2 linked regions of the Yarrowia lipolytica genome follow. The protein of the gene in region 2 purifies or fractionates together with the protein of the main gene of each other region. This does not show direct contact. Links are inferred from orthologs where the notes say so. Each region holds a gene or a part of one and is shown on either strand. Other genes may lie near its edges.

What was found. Proteins that work in one complex are often made in the same cells at the same time.
Region 1: the proteins of YALI1_F25485g (region 2) and YALI1_D00747g purify together in Saccharomyces cerevisiae (affinity purification with mass spectrometry; 4 studies listed by BioGRID). This does not show direct contact. The link is inferred for Yarrowia lipolytica from reciprocal best matches to the Saccharomyces cerevisiae genes SEC26 and GLO3.

Annotation. Positions count from the first base shown.
Region 1 is NC_090773.1:72,060-78,162, forward strand, and holds YALI1_D00747g (uncharacterized protein), read right to left. Parts: upstream 3,009-6,103; coding exon 2,931-3,008; intron 2,660-2,930; coding exon 1,328-2,659; downstream 1-1,327. Other genes in the region: YALI1_D00724g (uncharacterized protein), read left to right, coding at 440-1,228; YALI1_D00754g (uncharacterized protein), read left to right, coding at 3,431-4,240; YALI1_D00766g (uncharacterized protein), read left to right, coding at 4,594-5,379. UniProt on the Saccharomyces cerevisiae protein: GTPase-activating protein for the ADP ribosylation factor (ARF) family. Involved in retrograde vesicular transport from the Golgi to the endoplasmic reticulum.
Region 2 is NC_090775.1:2,544,529-2,552,003, reverse strand, and holds YALI1_F25485g (uncharacterized protein), read left to right. Parts: upstream 1-3,346; coding exon 3,347-3,382; intron 3,383-3,488; coding exon 3,489-6,311; downstream 6,312-7,475. Other genes in the region: YALI1_F25496g (uncharacterized protein), read right to left, coding at 1-2,321; YALI1_F25444g (uncharacterized protein), read right to left, coding at 6,671-7,475. UniProt on the Saccharomyces cerevisiae protein: The coatomer is a cytosolic protein complex that binds to dilysine motifs and reversibly associates with Golgi non-clathrin-coated vesicles, which further mediate biosynthetic protein transport from the ER, via the Golgi up to the trans Golgi network.

The DNA.
Region 1 (6,103 bases), on a different chromosome or scaffold from region 2:
TTTACTAAATTGTGAATCACAAGTACGTGTTTAATGGAAAAACATCAATTTGGCCATCTTATATTCCTACAAAATCTGATAGCCCCCCATCCAAGTAACGATATAGTCAGCTCTCCTCTTAACTATTTGTCAACGTAGAACCACACCACACGGCACCCCAACAATACAGCCACATCTGTCCCCCAGCAGTGCCAGATCTAAACCAATTCTTCCTACTGTAACGCAGCTACAACAAGATATATACTTGGGTCCTCCAATCCTCAACCGAAATAAATGCCCTCGAACTAGACCATAGCTACAAGTAGTAGACCCACCCTAACCTTAGCCCCACACCTCTCATGCCCGTGCTTGCATATCTCCATGTGGGGGAGTGATACTTATAGTAGGAAGAGACCTACAGTACTTGTAGCAAAACAAACAAACAACACTCTACAACACAATGACTGTCCCAAAGCTACCACTGTCATTCCCCCTGGACCAAGCCGTAGACACAATTCGGCTCTCCGACAAAGGGTCTTATTACATTCTCGAATTGAACGCTCCACCTGACAATCGACTAACCCCCTCTTTCATCACGGCCTTCATCGAAGCGTTAGACACTCTCAAGTTCTACTACGACCCAAAACCGCTGGTGACAACCTCCACCTCCCCCAAATTCTACTCCAACGGCCTGGACTATGAATTGGCCCAGAAAACCCCCAATTTCATGAGTCTCTACTTCTACCCTCTTTTGAAAGCTTTCGTGGACTTCCCCTGGCCCACAATTGCCAACATCAATGGCCATTGTTTTGCAGGTGCCTTTTGTCTGGCAGCATTCCATGACTACAGAGTAATGAACCCGGCCAAGGGGTGGCTGTGCATGAATGAACTCGAGTTCGACGCGCCTCTAATGGGCCCTCTCATGTCCATATACGTTACCAAGTTTGGAGCTGCTATAGCCCAGAGAATCTCGCTCAACGCAGAGAGATTCACAGCAAAGACAGCTCTCGAAGCCGGACTCATTCACGCCCACGGATCATGGCCAGAGGTCGAAGAAATCGTGAAACGAATCGGGGAATACTCAAACCGGACATTCTATAGCCAAATGAGAGCTGGTATTCTCAGAAACGTGCTGACAACCATGGATTACGACAACGAGACTCGTATCCTCCACGAAAGAAGAGACAGACTGTGGAAATACGAGGACGAAAACAAACCAAGAATTGGAGCACTACTGAGCAAACTATAGGTATAAGTACAATTGGTATATTTAGTTAATACATACACTAACATGCTCAATAAATTACTGGGATAGAGCTTCTATTGTGATTTTCAGGCTGGTCCAAACTTATCTCATGTACTCCCTCATGAAATCGCCCACCTTTTTTCCACCCTGCTCAAAAGCGTCCTTCAGACCTCCAAAATCCTCTCCGGCCACGTTCTTGACCCGCTCAGCGAGATCTGCAGCCATTCGCTCCAGATCGCTCGAGTGGTTCACCATAGCCTGCTCCTCCTCCTCGTCTCGGCCAAAGTAGGATGACGACGAAATGGCCTTGGAGCCGGAGTACGTCTGAAGACGCTCCTTCGCCTCCTTCTGGGCAGCAGGGTCGTAATCGGACCGGCCAAAGAACTGGTCTGACGAAATACCCTTGGATGTCTTGAACTTGTTGAGTGTCTCGGCAGTTTCCTTATCCGGAGGGACATAGGTAGACTTCTTCTTGGTCGACTCCAGCTTGTTCTCACCGGCAACCATACCAAAGCCGAGCTTCTGGAACTTCTGCTCGACCTCCTTAGTGTTAGTGGGGACCAGCTTGATGGGTTCGTTAGAGTAAGTGGGGGGGTAGTCTGCGGGGCCGCCAAACGAGCCGGAGGGAGCGGCGGTGTGAGTGGGCTCGGAAACAACGGTGCTCTTGCCGAACACGTCGTCCTCAGCATCATCGTCGTTGCCAAGACCCAGGGCCTCCTTATTCTTTTCCTCCTCCTTGGCCAGTCGTTCGGCTTCCTCGAAATCAAACGACTCGGCGGGAGCCTTCTTAGGTTTGGTCTTCTTGGAAGACAGAATGCTCTTCTTGCCAGCGGCACCTCCGGCCTTCGAGGTAATCTTGGTCCGGGTGGCGGTAGGGGTCACCTTCTTGGTGGGGTTGTTCAGCGAAGAAGTGGAGCCGTTGTTTCCGTTTCGGATACCGGGCAAGCTGGCAGTGGAGGCGCCAAGAGCAGGGGTGGAAGACCGCGAAGATGTAGGGGTGGGCTTCTTGACCAGGGGCTTGTCCCAGTTGGCAAAGAAGTCGTCGGTGGAGGCAGACTTGATGCTGGCGGCGTCGTCATCTGCAGTCTCAACCACAATCTCGTCGGGGAACTGGGCTGCGTCCTTGGCGCACTTTTGGGCCAGATGAGTCAGGTAAGCCTTGGCGGTCTTGGAAGTATACTTTTCCTGGGCTCGACCAGCGTTCTCGAGGTACTGGGAGCCTCCGTGCTTGGCAAAGTATTCCCGTGCGTTCTGGTTACCTCCACACTTCATGTTTCGGAGCTGCTTGTAGGACCACTCGTCCATGGTAGTGGATCGTACGAACGACACGTGCACTCCGAGGTTTCGGTGCACCGACGAGCAGTCATAGCAGATGAACACACCGAAGGTGACCGACGACCAAGTGGCATTGTTGGCGGGACAGTCAAAGCATGTCTAGGTTAGCGTTGAAGTTGAAACCGGTATTGTGTATGAGCCACATCACCATTGAGTAGGTAGGCACGCGCGTCATAAACACCAGCCCGGCATGATTCAGCGTAGGAGAAAAACACCCACAAACTGACACGCCACAGAGGCAGCTCACACCCCCCTTTCTGTGCCACATAAGCCCTTGCACCTTGGTAACCATACGGTCCATGCCAGATCAGCTGGACGTGGCAGCCGTGTGGGAACCGCTCAAAACCAAAAGACCAAAAAAACAACTCACCTTGTTAGCCTGAAGACTGCTTAGCTTCTTGAAGATCTCCTCTCGTTGAGACTTGGGCAGAATGTCGCTCTCAACCATGTTGTGTTGATAATGACACGAGGTCAAAAGTAAACTCTAGTAGTGCGCTGATGGTCAGAGTTACCCGGCAGCATCTTTGGCCATCATGCATCATTCTGGAGCGTTGCAGCAGAGCGACGTGCCTGGAGACGGAACTACTATAACAAAACAGATGTGTCAGATAATGCAACCCAACAGGGCTAGCGAGAATATATACCTAATAAATACCCAGCCACGTGACCAAAAACCCGACTCCAAGTCTACCAAAGAGCACCCCACCTCACTTCTATCCACGTGACCACCTACTGGCACACCCCAAACGCACCTCATTGCTTCTTAAACTCCCAGCAAAGTTTTACTAACAAATCTGGAATCTGGAGAAGGCTACCTTGTCGCTACCTGCACATCACATTACGACACCCTACACAATCCACTTATACACAATGTTGACACGCCCATTACTGGCTCTGTCACGCCCTATGGCACTGGGTGCCCTTAGACCTGCCGTTCTCGTCAGAACTCTCACCACTGCAGGTCCCACCACAACCGTCAGATCTACACCAATCATTACCCCCTCGCATCTCTCCACACTGTCTCGATCCACACCATTTGTGTCCAATTGCACACTTTCTCTGCTGAAGCGGTCATTTCATGTGTCCTCTGACGCTCGAAGCGCCGCTAAGGCCGAGGGGAAGCCCAAGGTGTCGGCCTACGAGAAGGCCAACATGCGCCTGGCCAAGATCGGAGTCTTTTTCCAGCTGTCGTGGTACCTAGGAATCATTCTGGCGGCACTGGGACTGTTTGGACTCGTCTGGTACTACCTGATCATGGAGCTGGTGATGCCCTCTGGAGACGTGCGAATCTTCAACCGAGCGTTCAAGGAGATTGAGAAGAACGAGGATGTCATGCGAGTGCTCGGAGGCCAACTATCGTCCATGGGCGAAGGTGGAGGAGGCCGATGGGGCCGAAACCAGCCCCCCGTCAGCAAACGAGGCATCGACAAGTACGGCCGAGAACACATTTGGATGAACTTTTACGTGTCTGGAGACATCAACGAGGGACGAGCCAAGCTGGAACTAGTGCAGAACACAGACTCCAAGCTGTCGTCCGAGCGGTTTGTCTACCGATACTTTGTCGTTGACATTCCGGGCCACAAGCGAATCTACATTGCTGGAAACGCCGCGGAGAAGATGGAGAAGAAGAAGAGTACCGGCTGGCTGGGCGTCAACTGGGGTAAGAGCGATGATGAGTAGGAGACAATACCATATGAAGCATGTAAATAACGACGAGCAAAGACCAAGGAGCAATACAATAATGAAATGACATGTCATATGGCCTAAATACCTCGGCTGGGTCGTTCACCAATGTACTTGTAACATTGTGCTGTACTTGTAGCATTTTAATGATTATGTCATCCTTGTATCCCCTTAATGACTGCCTTGATTCTGTACGAGTACAAGAAACTACGACAGTGTAAGTACATAAATACATAATCTCTGTCATGTGTCATTTCTACTTTGAGACTACGCTCCAACTTGTAAAGAGGCGTTGCCCCCAGCCGCCCTCGTTCCGAATCTAATGTTATGCTATATCAGCCATATCAGCCATGGCATTTTTGACTTTCTCTTGTGTGATGAGTCTCCTTCCCTTAAATACCCTCCTGGAGGAAATCGGCCACGTTATGAGGCTCCTTGCTGAGCAGCACCTTCTGGCCGGAGGCGGGCTCGCAGTCTCGTCGAACGTGGTTCTCGGGGCCGGGAGTGGGCATCTTGCCGGCCTTGCAGTCCTCCAGAAGCTTGACGGTTCCCTCGGGAGTGAGATCCTCGTAGTAGTCGTCGTTGATGGCCATCATGGGGGCGTTGACACAGGCTCCGAGACACTCAACCTCAGAGAGAGTGAAGAGGTTGTCCTTGGTGGTCTCACCGGGCTTGATGTTAAGGGTGTTCTGGACAGCCTCCATGATACCGTCGGAGCCACACAGCTGACAGGGGGTGGTGGTACAGATCTGCAGATGGTACCGGCCCATAGGGGTTCGGTTGTACATTGTGTAGAAGGTGGCCACCTCATAGACTCGCATGGGGGGCATTTCCAGCAGCTTGGCCACGTAGTTCATGACGGAGATGGAGGTATAACCGAGCTGTCGCTGGCCAATGTCGAGAAGAGGCATAACAGCAGCCTTCTTGTACTGAGGGGGGTACTTGGCAATCACCTCCTCAGCTCGCTTCATGTTCTCGGGGGAGAACTCAAAGGGAATGCTGGGGTTGTTGTTCTCAGTGTTTCGGTGTACAGAGACAATGTGAGTTCGGGCATTGAGAGCCTGGGGGGCCCGAGTGGTGGGCCGGGCGAGAGCTGCCAAACGGGGTCGGATCAGTCGGAGCATTTTTGTGTGTGAAGGTCGAGCTGAAGCTGTGGTGATGGAGATGTTCGTGCCCTTGACCCAAACGCTCCAGAGTTAGTTTTTCAGAAATTGGGCCACGCCTATTGGTTGATGACCTGAATTAAGGTTGAGTAATTGGGAGGGAGGATATTGGCTGGAGGGAGGAGGGGATGAAATACGGATTAACGGATCACCCTTGTGCGATTGATGTCGCCAGACACACGATTTGAGCTTCATTATATTTTGGACGTGTATTCACTCTGGGTTTCTTGCTTACTAATCGGACATATGTGTTCAATGGCAAACTAAATTACAAGTACATCTGATTGGGATGTTGGGGAGCTACTTTTGGCTTCCCTAACCCAAACTCGGAGATAATGAGGTAGAAACTTTTTACTCTGTGCTGAGGGACGAGAGAGAAAATGTATTGTCAGCATGTTCCGCTAAGAAAAGTGTAACATGGGCAAGGTCAAATGTTAGGCAACACCTTGTTTCGATGGGTGGGGTACAGTACGTAAATATAAATTTATATTGTTGTTGGTTGGCTGCTGGATGCACAGCTACAGTATTCCTTCAAATAAAAAAGTCAAGTAAAGTCTCAACAAAAAATCATATCCGAGAGACACATAATTATAGATACAGCAAGATATTGCGTAGGTAGCAGTTATTTATTGATGCGTTGTTGCCTATAAATTGTACAAGTATTTATTCATCGATTGGTATGGCTTCTTTTCCCCTG
Region 2 (7,475 bases):
ATGTCCATGTTCTTGTTGAACTTCTTTCCAGCCTTGTCCGAGATACCCAGGGGAAGACCCCAGACCTTGGAGGGCACTTCACACCATGCTGAGGCTGTTCGTTTTCTCAACGCACGGACATACTGAGACTCGACACCCAAAGCAGGATAGTCGGAGTTGGAAATTCTGCCCTTTTGAGACACCTGGGAAGTGGTCGAGATGATGCTCGGTGCGCCCTGTAATCCTGGCATGCTTGTGGCGGTTCCAGTACTCATATTGGTGACTGAAGGTACCAATGGAGCGCCCACATCAAAAGCACCATACTCTGTAGGATCTGGGATATTAATTGAGGGATCCAAGAGAACGGGAGCAACAGAACCACCAATGACAGCTCCTCCTCCAAATGCAGATCCGTCGAAAGCAACCCCTTCAGGGATCGCAGGGGTTTGGGGTGAAGGAGGTTCGGGATGCTCGTAAGAAGTTCTAGGCTCGTATGCTGGGTTGTGAGGATCAAACGAAGGATCAAAGGGATCAATCGCTGATTCGTGTGTGTACTGAGGTTGCAGATGATGTTCCGCTAGCAGATCCTCTCCGCTCATGGGACGTGTGCTATGACTGCTCCCGCTGTCGTAGCTATGGTTGCCGGTAAACATGGAACTCATAGATCTGTTGTTGTTATCAACGCCTCCTCTCTGACTATTAAGGTACGACTCGTTGGTCACGTACTCCTGGGAAATGTCATCTGTAGAGCCAGAAGGCGTGGCGTAAAACGACTCACGGGTTGCAAAGTCGAACGACGGGTTGGAAGTCGACGAATTGCTCTTCTTGTGGATTCTCAGAGGCGCTGCTGGTGTAAAAGGGTCCAGATGGTTGCCATCATTGATCTCCAGGTGAGACATGCGGTTCGTCAGAGGGTACTCTCGAGGTCCAGCGGGGGTCTTGGTGACCGTAGGCACAGGGGGAGCAGCTTTTGCCGGTGTGGGTTCATCTTCGTCACTAGAAGAAGAAAAGTCGTTCACGACTCGCAGCGTTCGTCGGGGAGGCGAGTGCTGGTAGTCCGAGTCCGGGGAAGGAGACCGAGGAGGCAGATGGTGCGACGGCTGGTAGATGGGTGCAGCAGCAGGAGTGGGCGCAGAAGCAGGGGCTGGTACAGGTGCCTTTGTGACAGCAGGAGCTACTGGTGCAGGTGTGGGTATTGGCTTTTGAATGTTGGTCTTGGGAACAGGAGGCATGGCAGGGGGGCACGTGTTAATGGTAGTTTTGGGAATAGGTGGCATAGCCGGTTTAGACACTGCTGGTTTGGCCACGGGCTTGACCTCGACTTGAGGGCTATCAAACTTGTACGCACTCTGAACGGGAGGAGTTTGCGGCGTGGGTTTTGTTGCAGCAGGAGTAGGAACTGGGTATGGCAGGGTAGACTTGCTGGAAGAGGTTGTGGTCGAGGCGGCCGAGGGTTGTCGTGTCGTATTCGATGCTGATCCGTATGACGACGTGTTTGCGGGGACTGGGTAGGGAGGGCTCTGTTGCGAGCTTGCGGACGTGCTTCCATGGGCACTTCCCCCAGGTACATTTCCGCCAGGTCCATTATTCTTAGGTGTCGAAGGTGCTACTGGTGTCGAATAAGACGTGTTGGGCACCGGTGGTCGAGAAGAAGCGCTGTAGTTGCGGCTGGTCGAGTCATGCTGTTTTGGTGACGTTCCGTTAGTAGCATAAGGAGCGGCAGCTGGGCTTGCAAACTGACTGGCCTGATAACCAAACGACGCCTGTTTCAGCTCCGGAGTCCCCGAGTAGGGGTTGTGGGTTGATGTTACGGGGACCTTTGGTGGCAGCGACGGCGGTGGTTGGGCCGTAGACGACTGTGAGGCCTGTGCTCTACCAAACCCCACGCCCTGTTGTGCATGTTGGCTTGCCGGTGACACGGGTTTGGAAAAGTTGATTGCTCCAGATAATCCGCCAGCAGATGTCGTTTGAAGTGGAGGCACTTTTCGGGCCTCGCTTACGGCCCGGCGTTCCGAGGTCGCGGGTTTCGGAGAGGTCGGCTCTGGATCAAGCAGAGAAGAATACCGGTATTGCTTTTTGGCGGCTGCAGGAGGCGTCCCCGGAGCAGCAGACGGCGTGCCCGTGGCACTCGCAGCTCCATAAGGTATGATTGGAGGTCCCAGCAGAGGTGAGCCTGTCTGAGGGTTCGGGCTGGCACTTGGAGTGGTGGAATTCGAGTCCACTCCCACAGGTTTTCGATGGACCGGCTTTCGCTTGGGGACATGAACTGGAGGCTGTGACGGCGACGGGGTCTTGTTGTCGGAGACCACGCCATTGATGTACCCTCCAGCTCCGTGAGACATTGTGATTGTGGTGGTGTGGTGCTGGATTTGTGACAGTTGTCTGTCTAACCAGTCTAGGAGGTGCTATTTTCGACTGCATGTCCCAGCACTATAATAGGCTTTTGCATGTGTGACGTCAGCCAAGCGACAAGTAGGGGTCGGCACGTGACGCAGCAAGAGGTGATTTGGGATGCTGTGAAGATGAACATTGTTCCTGACGCAGAGTTCGAGATGTATCTACATTGTAGCTATATCTCAAGGGTCAAATCCCTTTCCAAACTATGTTGAAACGCCCTGGACATCTTTGACCCCAAACTCCATCTTTTCCATCACCCCTCACTGGAACATGAAATGGTAAACACACTGATGGCAACCAACTCTGGAAGCTACTGTAGCGAGTCTGTAGCACTTGTTCAAGCTATTGTCATCGAAATATGATATTCCTATTACTGTAGGAGCATGAATTGTGTGTTGAGTACCATAACCATCTTTCCATGATTATATATATTTTATATATTTTTATAATTTAACAGTACATAGTAGAGAATATGTATCTTTTTTTATAATAACATAATACGTACATTAAACTCTATAGAATATGGGAAGACTACCAGATGTCTCACTGTAGGGAACAGTACGTAGTGTCTAAGTGTGTTGTTGAAATTGTAAGAAATAATGTCAACTGCGAGACTCGATTTACTTCACTTGGCTTATTGGGCTTATTCCAATGTCGGCAATCGCAGTGCAGATATGCCATGTGGGAAGATGTGAAGAGGTGCACGGACCGTATGTAGTTGAGCAGAATTTACGTCATTAGTAGAGGTTCTACTTGAGAATGACGCGGTTTGTAACGTGACCTTATAGCAATAAAAAATGCCTGCCATCCCGTTTTCTAGACACCTCTCTAACGCTCTCTAAGAGTATCAAATACGCAACTGGCCGGATCGCACTCTATTGAACCCCAAAGTAGGGTAACAACACATGCCTATGGCCACGATGTCAAAAGTCAATTGACGAGACACACTACGTGTAACCTAACCACTACCATGTCTGATTCAGCTCAGTACACGTTGGTCTACGAGGTGAGTAAAGCCGCCCGAGGTGTTTTGTGGCCCCCACAAGTCTCTTCTCGACGTGTCTTTCAAAAATTACACGCCCCCAACACCTCACAAGACACCACTAACACAGCCCTCGACTGAGAAGCTCTCGGTCCGAGACTTCCAGAACCTGCTTGAGAAGGGACGGGATGAAGACAAGGTCGATGCCATGCGGCAAATCCTGGTCGCCATGCTCAACGGCGACCCCATGCCCCAGCTTCTGATGCAAATCATCCGATTCGTCATGCCCTCGAAGAACAAGCAGCTCAAGAAGCTGCTGCACTTTTACTGGGAGATCTGCCCCAAGCTCCAGCCCGATGGAAAGCTCAAACAGGAGATGATTCTCGTGTGTAACGCCATCCGAAACGACCTGCAGCACCCCAACGAGTACATTCGAGGAGAGACCCTGCGATTCCTGTGCAAGCTCAAGGAGCCCGAGCTGCTGGAGTCTTTGATTCCCTCTGTGCGATCCAACATGGAGCACCGACACTCCTACGTGCGAAAGAACGCCGTTTTCGCCATCGCCTCCATTCGAGAGATCTCCGAGACCCTTGTCCCCGACTGCGACGAGCTGATCTCCACCTTCCTGGACGCTGAGACCGACGCCACATGTAAGCGAAACGCGTTTGTGTCGCTTGCCAACATCAACCGAGACTGGGCGTTTGCCTACCTGCAGAAACAGCTGCCCTCCATCGGTTCCCTCGACGAGCTCATCCAGCTGGCGTTTGTCCAATTCATTCGACGAGACGCCATTGTCACTCCCGAGCTGAAGCAGTCCTACATTGCCATCGTACTTGAGATGCTCGAGGCCTCGTCTCCCGCCGTCACTTACGAGGCTGCCATGGCCCTGACTGCCCTCACCTCTAACCCCACTGCTCTGCGAGCTGCCGCCCAGGAGCTGGTGGATCTCGCCATCCACGAGTCTGACAACAACGTCAAGCTCATTGTTCTGGACCGAGTTGATACCCTGCATCGACGAAACCCAGGAATTCTCAACGAGCTGTCCATGTCCATTCTGCTGATTCTGTCGTCTGCCGATCTGGATGTGCGATCCAAGGCCATCGACATTGCCCTAGACATGGTGTCCTCTACAAACATTGACGAGGTTATTAAGCTCTTCAAGAAGGAGCTCCAGGCCACCGTCTCCCAGGAGTACGAGCGAAACGCCGAGTACAGACAGGTTCTTATCCGAGCCATCCACAACTGCTCCATCAAGTTCCCCCAGGTGGCTGCCCAGGTTGCTGATCTGCTGCTAGACTTTGTGGCCGACTTCAACTCCTCTTCTGCCAACGATGTCATCATCTTTGTACGAGAGGTTGTCGAGCGGTTCCCCAACCTACGATCTACTATCGTCCGACGACTGTTGACCACTCTGTCTTCTGTTCGACGAGCCACTGTCTACCGATCTGCTCTCTGGGTCATTGGAGAGTACTGTCTCGAGGAAGCAGACATCCAGGAGGCATGGCAGCACATTCGAAATTCTCTTGGAGAGGTTCCCATTGTTGCTTCTGAGCGACGAAAGAGAGACGGTGAGACCAATGGTGCCGAGGAGGAGCCCGATGTTGGCGAGACTGCCACCCACAAGCCTTCCCGAAAGGTTCTTGCTGACGGTACTTACGCCACCGAATCTGCCCTGACCACCACTGTCAAGGCCGAGGTTGACGAGTTTGAGGGCCAACCTCTGCGGTCTATCATCCTCAAGGATGGCAACTACTTTGTTGCCGGCGTTCTTGGATCCACTCTCGCCAAGTTGGTGTTCCGATACGCTGCCATCACCAAAAAGCCTGCTCGGGTCAACGCTCTCAAGGCCGAGGCCATGCTGTTCCTGACCTCTATTCTGCGAGCTGGCCAGTCCGAGTTTTCTGCTGTTTCTATCGACGAGGACTCTACTGACAGAATCCTGTCTTGTATTCGAGCGATCTCTCAGGGCGACCGAGAGCCTGCCGTTGTGGAGGCCTACAGAGAAGACACGAAGGAGGCCTTCCGAGCCCTTGTTGGCAAGCTCGATAAGGAGCGTGCCGACAAGAAGGCTGCTGACAAGCGAAACAACGCCGTTCAAGTCGATGACTCCCTATCTTTTCGACAGCTTGTCAAGACTGATGGTGACGACGAGGAGCCCGAGGCTCTTGATACTATCGACACCACTGTTGTTTCTACCAAGCCTCTTTCCTCTCTTGCCAAGGTCCAGCCCCTCACTGGATTCTCCGACCCTATCTACGCTGAGGCCGTCATCAACGTGCACCAGTTTGACATCATTCTCGACATTCTGCTTGTTAACCAGACCAAGGACACCCTCCGGAACCTCACAGTGGAGTTCTCTGTGCTTGGTGACCTCAAGGTTGTTGACCAGCCTCAGAGTCTCAACCTCGGTCCCCATGGATTTGCCTCTCTACAGACCACCATCAAGGTGTCTTCTGCTGATGCGTCTGTCATTTTCGGTAACATTGTCTACGACGGTCAGTCTTCTCTGGACAACAAGGTTGTTATTCTCAACGATCTGCATGTTGATATTATGGACTACATCAAGCCTTCCACCTGCTCCGAGACTGAGTTCCGAAGCATGTGGAGCGAGTTTGAATGGGAGAACAAGGTCAACCTCATGGCAAAGGGTCTTACTCTTCAGAAGTACATTCGGTACTTTGTTGAGAACACTAACATGAAGTGTCTCACTCCTGGTGCCATCAAGGAGGATGCTACTGATCTTGAGGACGACTGCGGCTTCCTTTCTGCTAACCTGTACTCTATCAGTTCGTTTGGTGAGGAGGCTCTTGCAAACATCTCGATTGAGATCAACGACAACCTGGAGATTTCTGGACACGTCCGAATTCGGTCCAAGGGTCAGGGTCTGGCTCTGTCGCTGGGTGATCGGGTTGCCGACATTCAGAAGCAGCTCGTGTTGAAGAGCCTGGCATAAGGTGAGCTTGTATATATATATATATATAGAACAAGCAATGTAATGAAAATTGTACTATCTGAGCGGCAACGTGGGTACATACCCTACTATTACTGCAGTTACTGTATAGACTGATCGATCTGCCATGCTTTACATGAACCATGTATATGATGGCTTCCGATATGCACAATTTGAAATTTATAGGACGTATCTCAATGCTAACTCATTCAGTCTGGTTAGTCATAAGAGAAATTTATCTATCTATTTGTCTATATGCAAAAAACTATTACTATTCCTCCGCAACTCTTGTCAGCTTCTTCTTGTCGTCATTCTATCGCTTGTTGTGTTGATTTTGTGATGTTCGGGGAGTGAAAGCCAATTTACTTCTTGAAGATGTCCAGCAGACCAGTAAGGAAGAGCGCCGAGAGGACGGGAATGGTGAAGTTGTCGTCGATTCCGAACACATCAATGGACTCGGAAACGGCTCCGACGAGACCAGACATGGCTGTCAAGACTCCCAGAGTAAGTCGAGAAGACTGCTTGGACCAGGTGATCTGGCCGGGCGTGTCGACTTCAGCGCCGTACTTGGGGATGATGATGCCGTATAGAAAGAGACATGCGATCTCAGAGGCAATGAAGGCGCCCATAAAACCAGCCAGCGACTTGTTCTTGTACTTGGGAGTGAGGTATCCATAAGCCCGGCCGACGGAAGAGGCTGCGGTATCAGCCCAGGAGAGCAGAAGAACAGCCATAAGAGCAACATCCTTAGAGGCGAACGAGAAGACCAGAATGAGGCCAAGCAGGTACCAGATGGTTCCGTTAACGCCGTTAATCTCGGACTCTCGCATCAGAGCTCCCATGACTTTGCAGTAGGCCTTGTTGAGGGCCTTGTTTCTGAGACGCAGGAAGTCAAAGGTGCCGATGAACAATGCCATCACCACGAGAACGGGAGTGACCTGGTTCAGGTTGATGCCTTGGGTGTACAGCCATAGGGTGATGAAGCCGATGGAGGTGTGGAGGAACTTTCTGGGGATTTCGTGTTTCTTGAAGAAGGCGCCAAACCGGCCATTATGCCAGAACGCCAACAGGTCTTCGCCGTTGGTGTCGGTGGTGTTAGAATTGGTTTCGGTAGTCTTGGTTTCGCTCTTGAGAGAAGCAGGTGTAGACTGAGTGCCCTGGGCGGTT